Linked DNA regions of Macaca fascicularis. The protein of the gene in region 1 purifies or fractionates together with the protein of each later gene. This does not show direct contact. Links are inferred from orthologs where the notes say so. Each region holds a gene or a part of one and is shown in the gene's direction. Other genes may lie near its edges. The genes, in order: CDH2, JUP and CTNND1.

Region 1 (3,649 bases):
TTCACTTAATAATTAAATTGTGGTAAAGCAGATGACCTGAACAAAGTGATCTTAGCCATTGTCTGTATTATAACGCAGTTGTCATAATGAAAATTTAATATTTGTCTTCAGGGACCCATTCTCCTTATCAGGAATTTCCCTGATTTTTCTTGTTTTTTCTCCAGATCCTTCTTGGGCCTACTTATATGACCCCAAGTCAGACCATGCTGAACTAAGGGAATCCCTATTGCTTAAATTTGCAGTTGCTAGACTTTGTAAGGAAGAAGAGTGTAGGCTAATATGTGAATATTAACTCCACGAGGGCAGCCCATTGGATCTAGCTCATTAGTAGCTGTGTCTCTACCAGTAAGCAGAATACATTGCAATAATATTAATAGATAATCAACAAATATGTCTTGAATCGAATTAATAAACACAAACAAAATGAATGAAGGTGCATTCTTTGGCTTTTGTTAGCTAAGGCGCCAATCACTGACCACTCCAAAATATTGCTGCTTATAATAATGAAGGTTTACTTCTTGCTTAAATTATAAGTCAACTGTAGTCTGTCAGTGACTCAGTTCCTGATCCATATGTTTTCTTTGTTTCAGGATCCAGGCAGATAAACTTCCCATCTGGAGCAGGCCATTCTGGCAGAGGGGGAAAGGAGGATTGGTGGAAGGGTGGAAACACATTAGATAGAGTTCTTGAAGCAGCTACTTTTCACAGCTACTTACACTGCGTTGGCCAGAGCCAGTCAGACAGCCAAGCCTTACAGTGTGGTTGGGAAAGTAAACCCTGACCCCAGAGAGGCACTGTGGGAGGGGGGGTGTGTGTTCTGCCTTCAGAAAAAGGGCAGTGAATCACTGAGGGCAGTAACACAATTTACCACAGAAGGGAGTTACAAGTTTTGAGAAATTGTAGGTTGTGGTTCTCAGTCTTAGCAGAATTGCCTTGTAGTTTAGTCTAAAAATAAGATAAAATCCCATCTAAAATTATTTATGTTGTATATATCAAAGTATTTTGCTGAAACCTGCTTTATTTTATTTTACACAGGCTTTTCTGGAGTATAAATAGTATAAAATGACATGAGGAAAAGTAGCAAAGTACTGCTAAATTTCATGGTTAAGACTGTTAGTAAAGAGGTGCCTGAAGATGAGAAAACTGGTCATGTGTACTTTTTTCTCTGATTTTTGATGCTAGTCAGCAGCTGCCATTTTCTTTCTTAAAATATATCTTTACTGTTTTTTATTTTTTCAAATCCCAAGGCAGGACATTTTTCTCTCAACTTAAATTTTTAAAAAGTACTAATATTCATTGAGCTCTACATGTGCCAGTCACTGTGGTGAGCCGTCGGGTCCCTTTGTTGCATTTGGTCTTTATAGTAGTCTTATGATGATGATTACAGTTGCAGATGAGGTTATGTGGAGGTCCCACAGCTAGTACTGGGGAGAGCTAAGGTGTCATCTCACAGTCTGATCTCTTAACCACTACACCATACTGATTCTGACCTTAATTTTTTTGCTTTTTCCCTGTTTCTCCTCTGTAACCTTGAAAGGATAGATGAACACGTGGTCATAAAAACCCATGTATGCGCTCATAAAATGCATGTGTATTGGCAGGCTTGATCTCTCAAGTAGGACTGTCTGTGACACGTCTTAGATAGTTGAGGCCATATAAGCCAAGTAGCATTTGACACGTAGAATGTGGAAAAAGGGAATGTTTGTTTTAATGTTAGTAATGTTAGTATATCTAGGAGTACTAGAATGGAATTGGGAAAAAAAGTTAGAAAATATACCAAAGGACCTAATACTGAATCCTTAGAAGTTTTGCAGAGCATAGAGACTCTAATTGTATATTAAAAAGCATCTGCTTACAAAAGTTACAAATATAGATAGAGAGTAGTTATTTCCTCGTTTCTTTCTTTTTAAAATTCTTTATAAGAACCAGACAAGCGTGTTATTTTAGATTGACAGGAGTCCTCCTCTTTTCAATATTTATACCATGTACAGATACTGGATTATGATATTTCTAGGATTTTTGGAAGTTAGAAGTTACCCTACATTTTAAAATACCAGTTTAAAATTAATCAATTCATTCCACATTTTACGTTATGTTAATCACACAAATGATTTTATGAGTACCTCCCTTTATGTAGTAATCACATCTGACCCGTCTTCAGTCTTCCTTTGATGTCCTTCCAAAATTAGGTCAAATACAATGCTACTTTCTCTTTGAACTCCTAGCTCTTAATGCTGATCTGAATTTTTTTTCCCCACAACCTGATGGTTTTTGCTTTGACTTCACAGTTTTGTCACTTGTCATTTGCTTCACACAGTAGTAGTACCTGTTAGGCTAGATTGTAAGCCTAGGGAGGGACACGGACCATCTGGTACTCATTTGTATGTCTCTTGTATTTCACTGAGGTGCTTTTTTAAATTTAATCTAGCAGTGCTGCTCTATATATTATGTTATTTAAGATCCTTCCTTCTCTGCCTCAAGCAGAGCCATTCATTTCTGCCACCTGTCCAACTTATTACTCAGTTAACCCCCTCCCTTCATAAGTCTTGGCCTCCCTGAGCTTGAGTGCTTAGCGTTGTTTCTTTGCACAGGAAAGATGTAAGTTAATTTTTATCTAACTTTCAAATGGTTATATCCGCAGTTTCCATGTGTTGAATATGTGGTCTGTAAATGAAAATTTACAAACAAGTGTGTGTTTGATCCCATGAATTCATTAGGATCTGCTTGTGGTTTTGTAAATTGTAACCCTCTCTTAATTCTTTCATTCTTTGTGTTTCCAAATTGCAGGGCCTTAAAGCGGCTGACAATGACCCCACAGCTCCACCATATGACTCCCTGTTAGTGTTTGACTATGAAGGCAGTGGCTCCACTGCTGGGTCCTTGAGCTCCCTTAATTCCTCAAGTAGTGGTGGTGAGCAGGACTATGATTACCTGAACGACTGGGGGCCACGGTTCAAGAAACTTGCTGACATGTATGGTGGAGGTGATGACTGAACTTCAGGGTGAACTTGGTTTTTGGACAAGTACAAACAATTTCAACTGATATTCCCAAAAAGCATACAGAAGCTAGGCTTTAACTTTGTAGTCTACTAGCACAGTGCTTGCTGGAGGCTTTGGCATAGGCTGCAAACCAATTTGGGCTCAGAGGGAATATCAGTGATCCATACTGTTTGGAAAAACACTGAGCTCAGTTACACTTGAATTTTACAGTACAGAAGCACTGGGATTTTATGTGCCTTTTTGTACCTTTTTCAGATTGGAATTAGTTTTCTGTTTAAGGCTTTAATGGTACTGATTTCTGAAACGATAAGTAAAAGACAAAATATTTTGTGGTGGGAGCAGTAAGTTAAACCATGATATGCTTCAACACGCCTTTGTTACATTGCATTTGCTTTTATTAAAATACAGAATTAAACAAAAAAAACTCATGGAGCGATTTTGTTACCTTGGGGGATGAGACCATGAGATTGGAAAATGTACATTACTTCTAGTTTTAGACTTTAGTTTTCTTTTTTTTTCCACTAAAATCTTAAAACTTACTCAGCTGGTTGCAAATAAAGGGAGTTTTCATATCACCAATTTGTAGCAAAATTGAATTTTTTCATAAACTAGAATGTTAGACACATTTTGGTCTTAATCCATGTACACT
Region 2 (3,649 bases), on another chromosome or scaffold:
CCACGGTGAAACCCCGTCTCTACTAAAAATACAAAAAATTAGCCGGGCGCGGTGGCGGGCGCCTGTAGTCCCAGCTACTCAGGAGGCTGAGGCAGGAGAATGGCGTAAACCCAGGAGGCGGAGCTTGCAGTGAGCCGAGATCACGCCACTGCACTCCAGCCTGGGCGACAGAGCGAGACTCCGTCTCAAAAAAACAAACAAACAAACAAACAAAATATATAAAAAATTAGCTGGGCGTGGTGGTGGGCTCCTGTAATCGCAGCTACTCAGGAGGCTGAGGCGGGAGAATCACTTGAACCCAGGAGGTGGAGGTTGCAATGAGGTGAGATTGCATCACTGCACTCCAGCCTGGGTAACAAGAGTGAAACTCTATCTCAAAAAAAAAAAAAAAAAAAGAAAAGGATTAGCCATGAGCACCCCCAGATCCTGTGGATTAAGTGACATGGCTGGGATGGTCTCCTTCTCTGGATATCTTCTAGTGTGCCTGTGTCTGGCCTCGGGGACAGAAGAGGTGAAGGAGAGAGGGGATACCTGAAGCTGGGAAGCTGGGATCCTTCAGATGTCCAAGAAGTGCCCCTGATTGCTGCCCCTTTTTTTTTTTGCCAGGCAACCATTGGCTTGATCAGGAATCTGGCCCTGTGCCCAGCCAACCATGCCCCACTGCAGGAGGCAGCGGTCATCCCCCGCCTCGTCCAACTGCTGGTCAAGGCCCACCAGGATGCCCAGCGCCACGTAGCTGCAGGCACACAGCAGCCCTACACGGTATGTGAGCTGGTGGTGCCTGTGACAACCTTCCTGGGGGGCAGGTGTCCTCTGTGGGTGTGTGTGTGAATGCAGAGGTCAGTTGCAACTGATGCCAGTTCCAAGAGCCTGTGAAGTTCATTCGGCTGACAGCACCTGTCCCATGCCCCCTGCCTCCTCTCTTGCAGGATGGTGTGAGGATGGAGGAGATTGTGGAGGGCTGCACCGGAGCCCTGCACATCCTCGCCCGGGACCCCATGAACCGCATGGAGATCTTCCGGCTCAACACCATCCCTCTGTTTGTGCAGGTGAGTCTGGGGCAGGTATGCAGGAGAGCTGCCCCCACCACTGCTTAGAGGGCAAGGTTAGGAGTCCCAGATTTTGAGGGCCTGGACCAGGCATCAAGAGGTCTTTGGAGGAGTTTGGAGGAAAGTGGCCACACCAGATTGACTACTTAGCAACCCCCTGCACAGGCATGGCTTTCTAAGCTTCAAAGCAAGGAAAGAGATCACAAATGGAAAAAACAAAAACAAAAAAAACTTGAGATTCAACCACATAAACATGAAAACCATCTATTTCAGAAAGAACCTTTAAAAAGCATTAAAAAAATCAGCAAACTGGGAGAATATGTGCAAGTACCATAACAGACAAGAGTTTAACATCTTTCATGTCAGTGACTTCTTTAACACTAGATTCCAATGGTTAGATGAAGCAGAGTAACAGGTAATTTCAAGGTAGTTCATGAACAACACTCAGCCCAGTTTAAAACAGTAACACTTACTCCCCAGTGATGGCCCGTTTTCCACTATGGAATTGCTACAGGGTGGAGGTGGGCAGGGCTGTGGGGTGTGTTGTCCGGCCTGCCTCACCCCTTCCCACCTCTCCCCTGCTTCCCATGTCCCCTCTCCCCAGCTCCTGTACTCATCGGTGGAGAACATCCAGCGTGTGGCCGCCGGGGTGCTGTGTGAGCTGGCCCAGGACAAGGAGGCGGCTGACGCCATTGATGCAGAGGGGGCCTCGGCCCCACTCATGGAGTTGCTGCACTCCCGCAACGAGGGCACTGGTGAGCTGGAAGAGGGCAGCTGGGTCCCACTCCCCCAGGCATGATGGAGGCTGGCAGACGTTTAACCTAGCTTTTCCTCTCCTCTCTGCTCAGCCACCTACGCTGCTGCTGTCCTGTTCCGCATCTCTGAGGACAAGAACCCAGACTACCGGAAGCGTGTGTCCGTGGAGCTCACCAACTCCCTCTTTAAGCATGACCCGGCTGCCTGGGAGGCTGTGAGTATCCTAGGCTGGACCGCAGTAGTTGGTTGCACAACTTGTGCACTGCCCAAGGGCAACTTGACTTTTGGGGGTCTCCTACTACTGTCAACTTTATAGATTTTTATTTTGTAATTGGATCATTTATAACAATTCCTAGCAGATGGAAGTAGTAGGTTGAACCATATGTCCACACAATGCCAATTTTTATTTTGCCCAAATGAGTATACGGTGTTTGAGGAGGGGGTGCTTTTCCTAATTTGCATGGAGGTGCTGGATAGGCTACAGGTGGTCTTTTCCAGGGTGGAGCAGTGCCCTGCACCCATTCGTGAGTCCTCTGCCTCCTACCCTCCTCCCATGAGCTGCTCTAATCCAGCAGGAGTTCCTGCTCCATGAATGGGGAACCCTCCTCCCTGGGGAGTACTGAGGACACGAGTACATCAGGGCACTGGGTGACCCCATTTCATCATCCTGTATTCCTCCAAGGCCTCTTTGCTTTTCTCTGGCCCCCTCTTTTATTTATTTATTTGTTTTTATTTTTTTTTGAGACAGAGTCTTGGTCTGTCGCCAGGCTGGAGTGCAGTGGCGTGATCTTGGCTCACTGCAACCTCTGCCTCCTGGTTTCAAGCAATTCTCCTGCCTTAGCCTCCTGAGTAACTGGAACTACAGGCACATGCTACCACACCCAGCTAATTTTTGTATTTTTAGTAGAGATGGGGTTTCCCCATGTTGGCTAGGATGATCTCAATCTCCTGACCTTGTAATCTGCCCACCTTGGCCTCCCAAAGTGCTGGGATTACAGGTGTGAGCCACTGTACCCGGGCTATTTTTTATTTTTTTCGAGACGGAGTCTCTCTCTGTGGCCCAGGCTGGAGTGCAGTGGCGCAGTCTCGGCTCACTGCATCCTCTGTCTCCCCATTCAAGCAATTCTCCTGCCTCAGCCTCCCAAGTAGCTGGGATTACAGGTGTGCACCACCACGCACAGCTATTTTTTTGTATTTTTAGTAGAGACGGGGTTTCACCACGTTGGCCAGGCTGGTCCAAAACTCCTGACCTCAAGTGATCCGCCTGCCTCCACCTCCCAGATTGCTGGGATTACAGGCGTGAGCCACCACATCCGGCCCAGTCCCTTCTTTTAGAAGCATCTCTCCCTGCCCCCCAGCTGATATCCAGCTTGGAGCCTGCATTTTCTTTTTTTTTTTTTGAGACGGAGTCTTGCTCTGCCGCCCAGGCTGGAGTGCAGTGGCCGGATCTCAGCTCACTGCAAGCTCCGCCTCCCGAGTTCACGCCATTCTCCTGCCTCAGCCTCCCGAGTAGCTGGGACTACAGGCGCCCGCCACCTCGCCCGGCTAGTTTTTTGTATTTTTTTTAGTAGAGACGGGGTTTCACCGTGTTAGCCAGGATGGTCTCGATCTCCTGACCTCGTGATCCGCCCGCCTCGGCCTCCCAAAGTGATGGGATTACAGGCTTGAGCCACCGCGCCCGGCCGGAGCCTGCATTTTCAAACCTCTCCTCCATGTTTCTCTCTCCTTTTTCAGGCCCAGAGCATGATTCCCATCAATGAGCCCTATGGAGATGGTAAGTGTGTGCCAGGCTCTTCAGGACCCTGGAGATCCTGGGTGGCTGTGTGGGTGTGTGTGAGGGGGCA
Region 3 (3,749 bases), on another chromosome or scaffold:
CCCAATAATCCTTTAATTAGGTCAAATGTAAAAAGAGAATGTATGAACTAGATCATCTTAAGCTTGAAGTTCACAAAGAAATAAAATGTTCTTGACATGATATTTACTTTCTTTTTTTTTTTAATTTTTTTTTTTTTTTTTTGAGACAGAGTCTCGCTCTGCCGCCCAGGCTGGAGTGCAGTGGCGTGATCTTGGCTCACTGCAAGCTCCGCCTCCCGGGTTCACGCCATTCTCCTGCCTCAGCCTCCCGAGTAGCTGGGACTACAGGCGCCCGCCACCTCGCCCGGCTAGTTTTTTTTGTATTTTTTAGTAGAGACGGGGTTTCACTGTGTCAGCCAGGATGGTCTCGATCTCCTGACCTCGTGATCCGCCCGTCTCGGCCTCCCAAAGTGCTGGGATTACAGGCTTGAGCCACCGCGCCCGGCGATATTTACTTTCTTTACCTATGCTGTTATTCCCTCTAAATATATTGTTTATTGGATTTCATGTCCTCTTCCCAACAAACCCACATTATTTTGATTTGGGGACAAATTGGGAAGACAGTGATTTTCTTTAACAGCCCAGTGGATTCTGCTTCCTTCTAATTCAGGGTATAGAGACTAAAAACTGTTAACAAGTCTAGAAATTTAAAAAAAAAAAAAATTAGCTCTAATGCAACTAATCCAAAACAGTGAAACTGGGTTTACCTCAGATATCCCCTACCATCCCAGTCAACATATAGTAGTCCTGTTTCTAGGATTTCTCTCTCCTTTCTTTACCATCTTCCTTTAGGGAAATGCTTTGGGATAGGAAGCAACAAACCAAACAGCAGCAGGCAAGTAAAATCAGTTCTTTTCTATTTCCCCACTGGGATAGTACGGAAGAGGGAGCAAGAACCCATCATCAAAGAGAACTGAGACTTAGGCGTGCCATTCTGAAAAGCCCTTGTTCCTTGTCTCCCTTGCCTCCCCCGCCCCCCTCAGCTCTGCAGTAATTCCTCAGAGATTGTACAGTCTCTCCACTTTAAATATAAATATATAAATATAAATATATATGTATAAACTTCCCCTTGTGTCTTTCTCTCCTCCTCTCTTTTTTTAATTTTCTATAATAAAGTTTCCTATTGGATAAGGTCAGCTCCCTGATTTATGCCTGACTCCTATTGGAAGCTCACAGGGGCTGACATCACTTAGGAAAGCGAAGGGGGTAGGGCTGCCAGATCAGTTTGTCACCACCCAGGCTCCCTTGCCTTTGGCTGGGTGCAACTTCCATTTTAGGTGTTGGATCTGAGGGGGAAAAAAAAGAGAGAGGGAGAGAGAGAGAAAGAAGAGCAGGAAAGATCCTGAAAGGAGGAAGAGGTGGCGAAAAATCAACTGCCTTGCTGGATTTGTCTTTCTCAGCACCTTGGCGAAGCCTTGGGTTTCTTTCTTAAAGGACTGGTTTTTAGAACTCCACATTTGAGGTGTGTGGCTTTTAAAGAAAATGTATGTACTGACGGGAAAAGGAGGATAAGCAAGTCGAATTTTTGTCTTACGGTAACGGGAGGGAATTAAAAAACGGGAGAGAGTTCGTTATGTTGATGAGTAACTTTTAAGCAATTATTTTTCTTTCTACTTTCAATACTTTGGCGGGGTAGATTTTGGTATTTTATTATATTTAAAAAGGTGAAATATACAAGACCTGGAAACAAACTTCTAGGTCTCTCTAATACAGGAAGCTGAGTAGATCCAGAGGGGTAAGAGCAGGTTTGAAAATTTACATTTTGGTGTGTTCTTTGATTTTATGTTTTTTGTTTTGTTTTGTTTTGTTTTTTTCTGGATTAAGCTAACATATTTCTGTTTTCAGAGCCCAAAAGTTGGTTTTTTGGCATGTTGCATGTGGGTTGGGAAAGGAATTTGTCCGTGTCGGAACCCAGTTATGCAGATGGTTCTTCATATGTTTCAAACTTTTTTTTTCTTTGTCATTGGATTTGTGGAAGTGGAAAGTTGCAGGGAGCTTTGCAGCGTAAATGGTATTGTTTTTCCCCCAGAGAGTTTGAACGGCCCGTATCGGTTTCAGCCCTGCTGTTCCTGGGTGGATCCCTCTTACTTTTCCAGGTGCGGTGGGTGGGAACCTCATTCTCCTGCTAGATGTAGTCTCCCTGCTTTGGCTTATAAAAGAAAACATACGGAACAATGTTAACTGAATTGCCATCTCCTTCTTCCTTCTAAACTACCTTTCATAGCAAAGATTTGTGGAGGTGTTTGTTAAATCTGCAAATACGACAACGTTTGGTTTATGTGTTTAAAGGGATAAGGAAATTCTAATCATGCTTTTTATTTCACCTGAGTAAAGTGACTACACACCTGAAAATATTTTCAGCTTTCTGCACTCTGAAATGGCCATGGCTGGAATAAAATTAGGTTTAGAAAAACCATTTATACAAAGTTTAGTGTTTAAAATACGTTTCAGAAAACACAAGGGAGATTTTTATTTTTAAACCAAACTGAAAGTTGTTTTTTGGAGTTTATTGCTTAGTTAATTTACCATGAAATCTTAAATCTCTTAGAGCTGAAGGCCTATGACTGTGCTTTCATATATTTAATCTTAAGATTTGTTTTGTTTTCGCAAATACATTCTTGCAAAAGTACTGATTCTAGATAATTATATAGCCAACTCATCACTAGCTGAAAAACTAGGGTATTCTCTTCTCTTTTTGAAAATGCGAATCAGGCTGAAAATTATAGATACTGTCCTAATTGTAACAAGATGGGCTTTAGTGTGTAAGCTGCTCATTAGCTTTAAACTGGTATGTATCTTTAATAATCTGATTTCGTTCCACCCCCCACCCCCCTGCCGCAAATTTTTTTTAAGACGAGACTTCCTTGAATTTCTTTTCTAGAATGAGGGTATTTCTTGAAAGATGATTTCATCCTTGTGAAGTTGTGGCTTCAGGAGGAAACAGAACTTTGTTCCTCCTTTGAATATAATCTAGGCAAAGGCTGCAGGAAATTTTTGATGTCTGGATCTCATAATTATAACAAGTACAGTCAAAAAGAAAGAAAAAAATACAATGTGTATAGTCTGTTTAGTATTTTCCAAATTTTCTTTCAAATGTTCTCTATGCCTTGACTCCAGCCTGGGGAGGTTTCTTGGATCTTTAGAGTGTTGGTCATGTTGCTTCCAGAGTGTCTGTTTCCCACTCAACCTTTAGGGGGAGGGATGAGGGAATCTGAAGGAGGAGTACAAAGGCAGTTTGAAAATAGGTTCTGGATGACTGAGTGGTGGTGATTTGGGTTTAGCTTTAAATAGTGGGCTTTGTGTAGTCGAAGTGAGCATCCTGGTTAACCTAGTGTCCAGGACTATTTCCACGAACTGAGGCGCTGTTTTGACTGGTGTGTAGTACAGAGCCTTTGGGGTGATAAGATGGAAGATTTGTCTTTTACCTCACCTCCACTGGTTCTTTCAGGAATTATAAGGGATGCAGATAAGTAAATCTTTTATTTTTAAAATTTTTTTATTTTGCTCCTCGTCTTGGTTTTGGGGTAAAAAATGATGACAGGTAAGTATGAGCTGTTCAGATTTTTCTTTCCTTGTTTGCCTCCTATATACGGTTGGTTTCTTTGTTATGTGAGTAAGGTAGTGGTCTGTGTTCCAGATTGGGGGGCGGAGGGGGGGCGGTTCTCTTTTAGGTGGTTGGAGTTCTAGTACCTTTCTCAAGGTTCCAGCATGGATAGTCAGAGAAGCTTCAACATGTTCTCTGAGCTAGGGTAAAATTGAGACTATTTGGA

What was found.
Region 2: the proteins of CDH2 (region 1) and JUP purify together in Homo sapiens (co-immunoprecipitation; 4 studies listed by BioGRID and IntAct, with this or other methods). This does not show direct contact. The link is inferred for Macaca fascicularis from reciprocal best matches to the Homo sapiens genes CDH2 and JUP.
Region 3: the proteins of CDH2 (region 1) and CTNND1 purify together in Homo sapiens (affinity purification with western blotting; 6 studies listed by BioGRID and IntAct, with this or other methods). This does not show direct contact. The link is inferred for Macaca fascicularis from reciprocal best matches to the Homo sapiens genes CDH2 and CTNND1.

What each region holds. Positions count from the first base shown.
Region 1 is NC_088392.1:61,831,995-61,835,643, forward strand, and holds part of CDH2 (cadherin-2), read left to right. Parts: intron 1-2,787; coding exon 2,788-2,994; 3' UTR 2,995-3,649. UniProt on the Homo sapiens protein: Calcium-dependent cell adhesion protein; preferentially mediates homotypic cell-cell adhesion by dimerization with a CDH2 chain from another cell. Cadherins may thus contribute to the sorting of heterogeneous cell types.
Region 2 is NC_088390.1:62,792,344-62,795,992, reverse strand, and holds part of JUP (junction plakoglobin), read left to right. Parts: intron 1-606; coding exon 607-762; intron 763-929; coding exon 930-1,049; intron 1,050-1,653; coding exon 1,654-1,804; intron 1,805-1,897; coding exon 1,898-2,019; intron 2,020-3,539; coding exon 3,540-3,579; intron 3,580-3,649. UniProt on the Homo sapiens protein: Common junctional plaque protein. The membrane-associated plaques are architectural elements in an important strategic position to influence the arrangement and function of both the cytoskeleton and the cells within the tissue.
Region 3 is NC_088388.1:15,839,718-15,843,466, reverse strand, and holds the start of CTNND1 (catenin delta-1), read left to right. Parts: upstream 1-1,226; 5' UTR 1,227-1,463; intron 1,464-3,211; exon of another isoform or gene 3,212-3,520; intron 3,521-3,749. UniProt on the Homo sapiens protein: Key regulator of cell-cell adhesion that associates with and regulates the cell adhesion properties of both C-, E- and N-cadherins, being critical for their surface stability.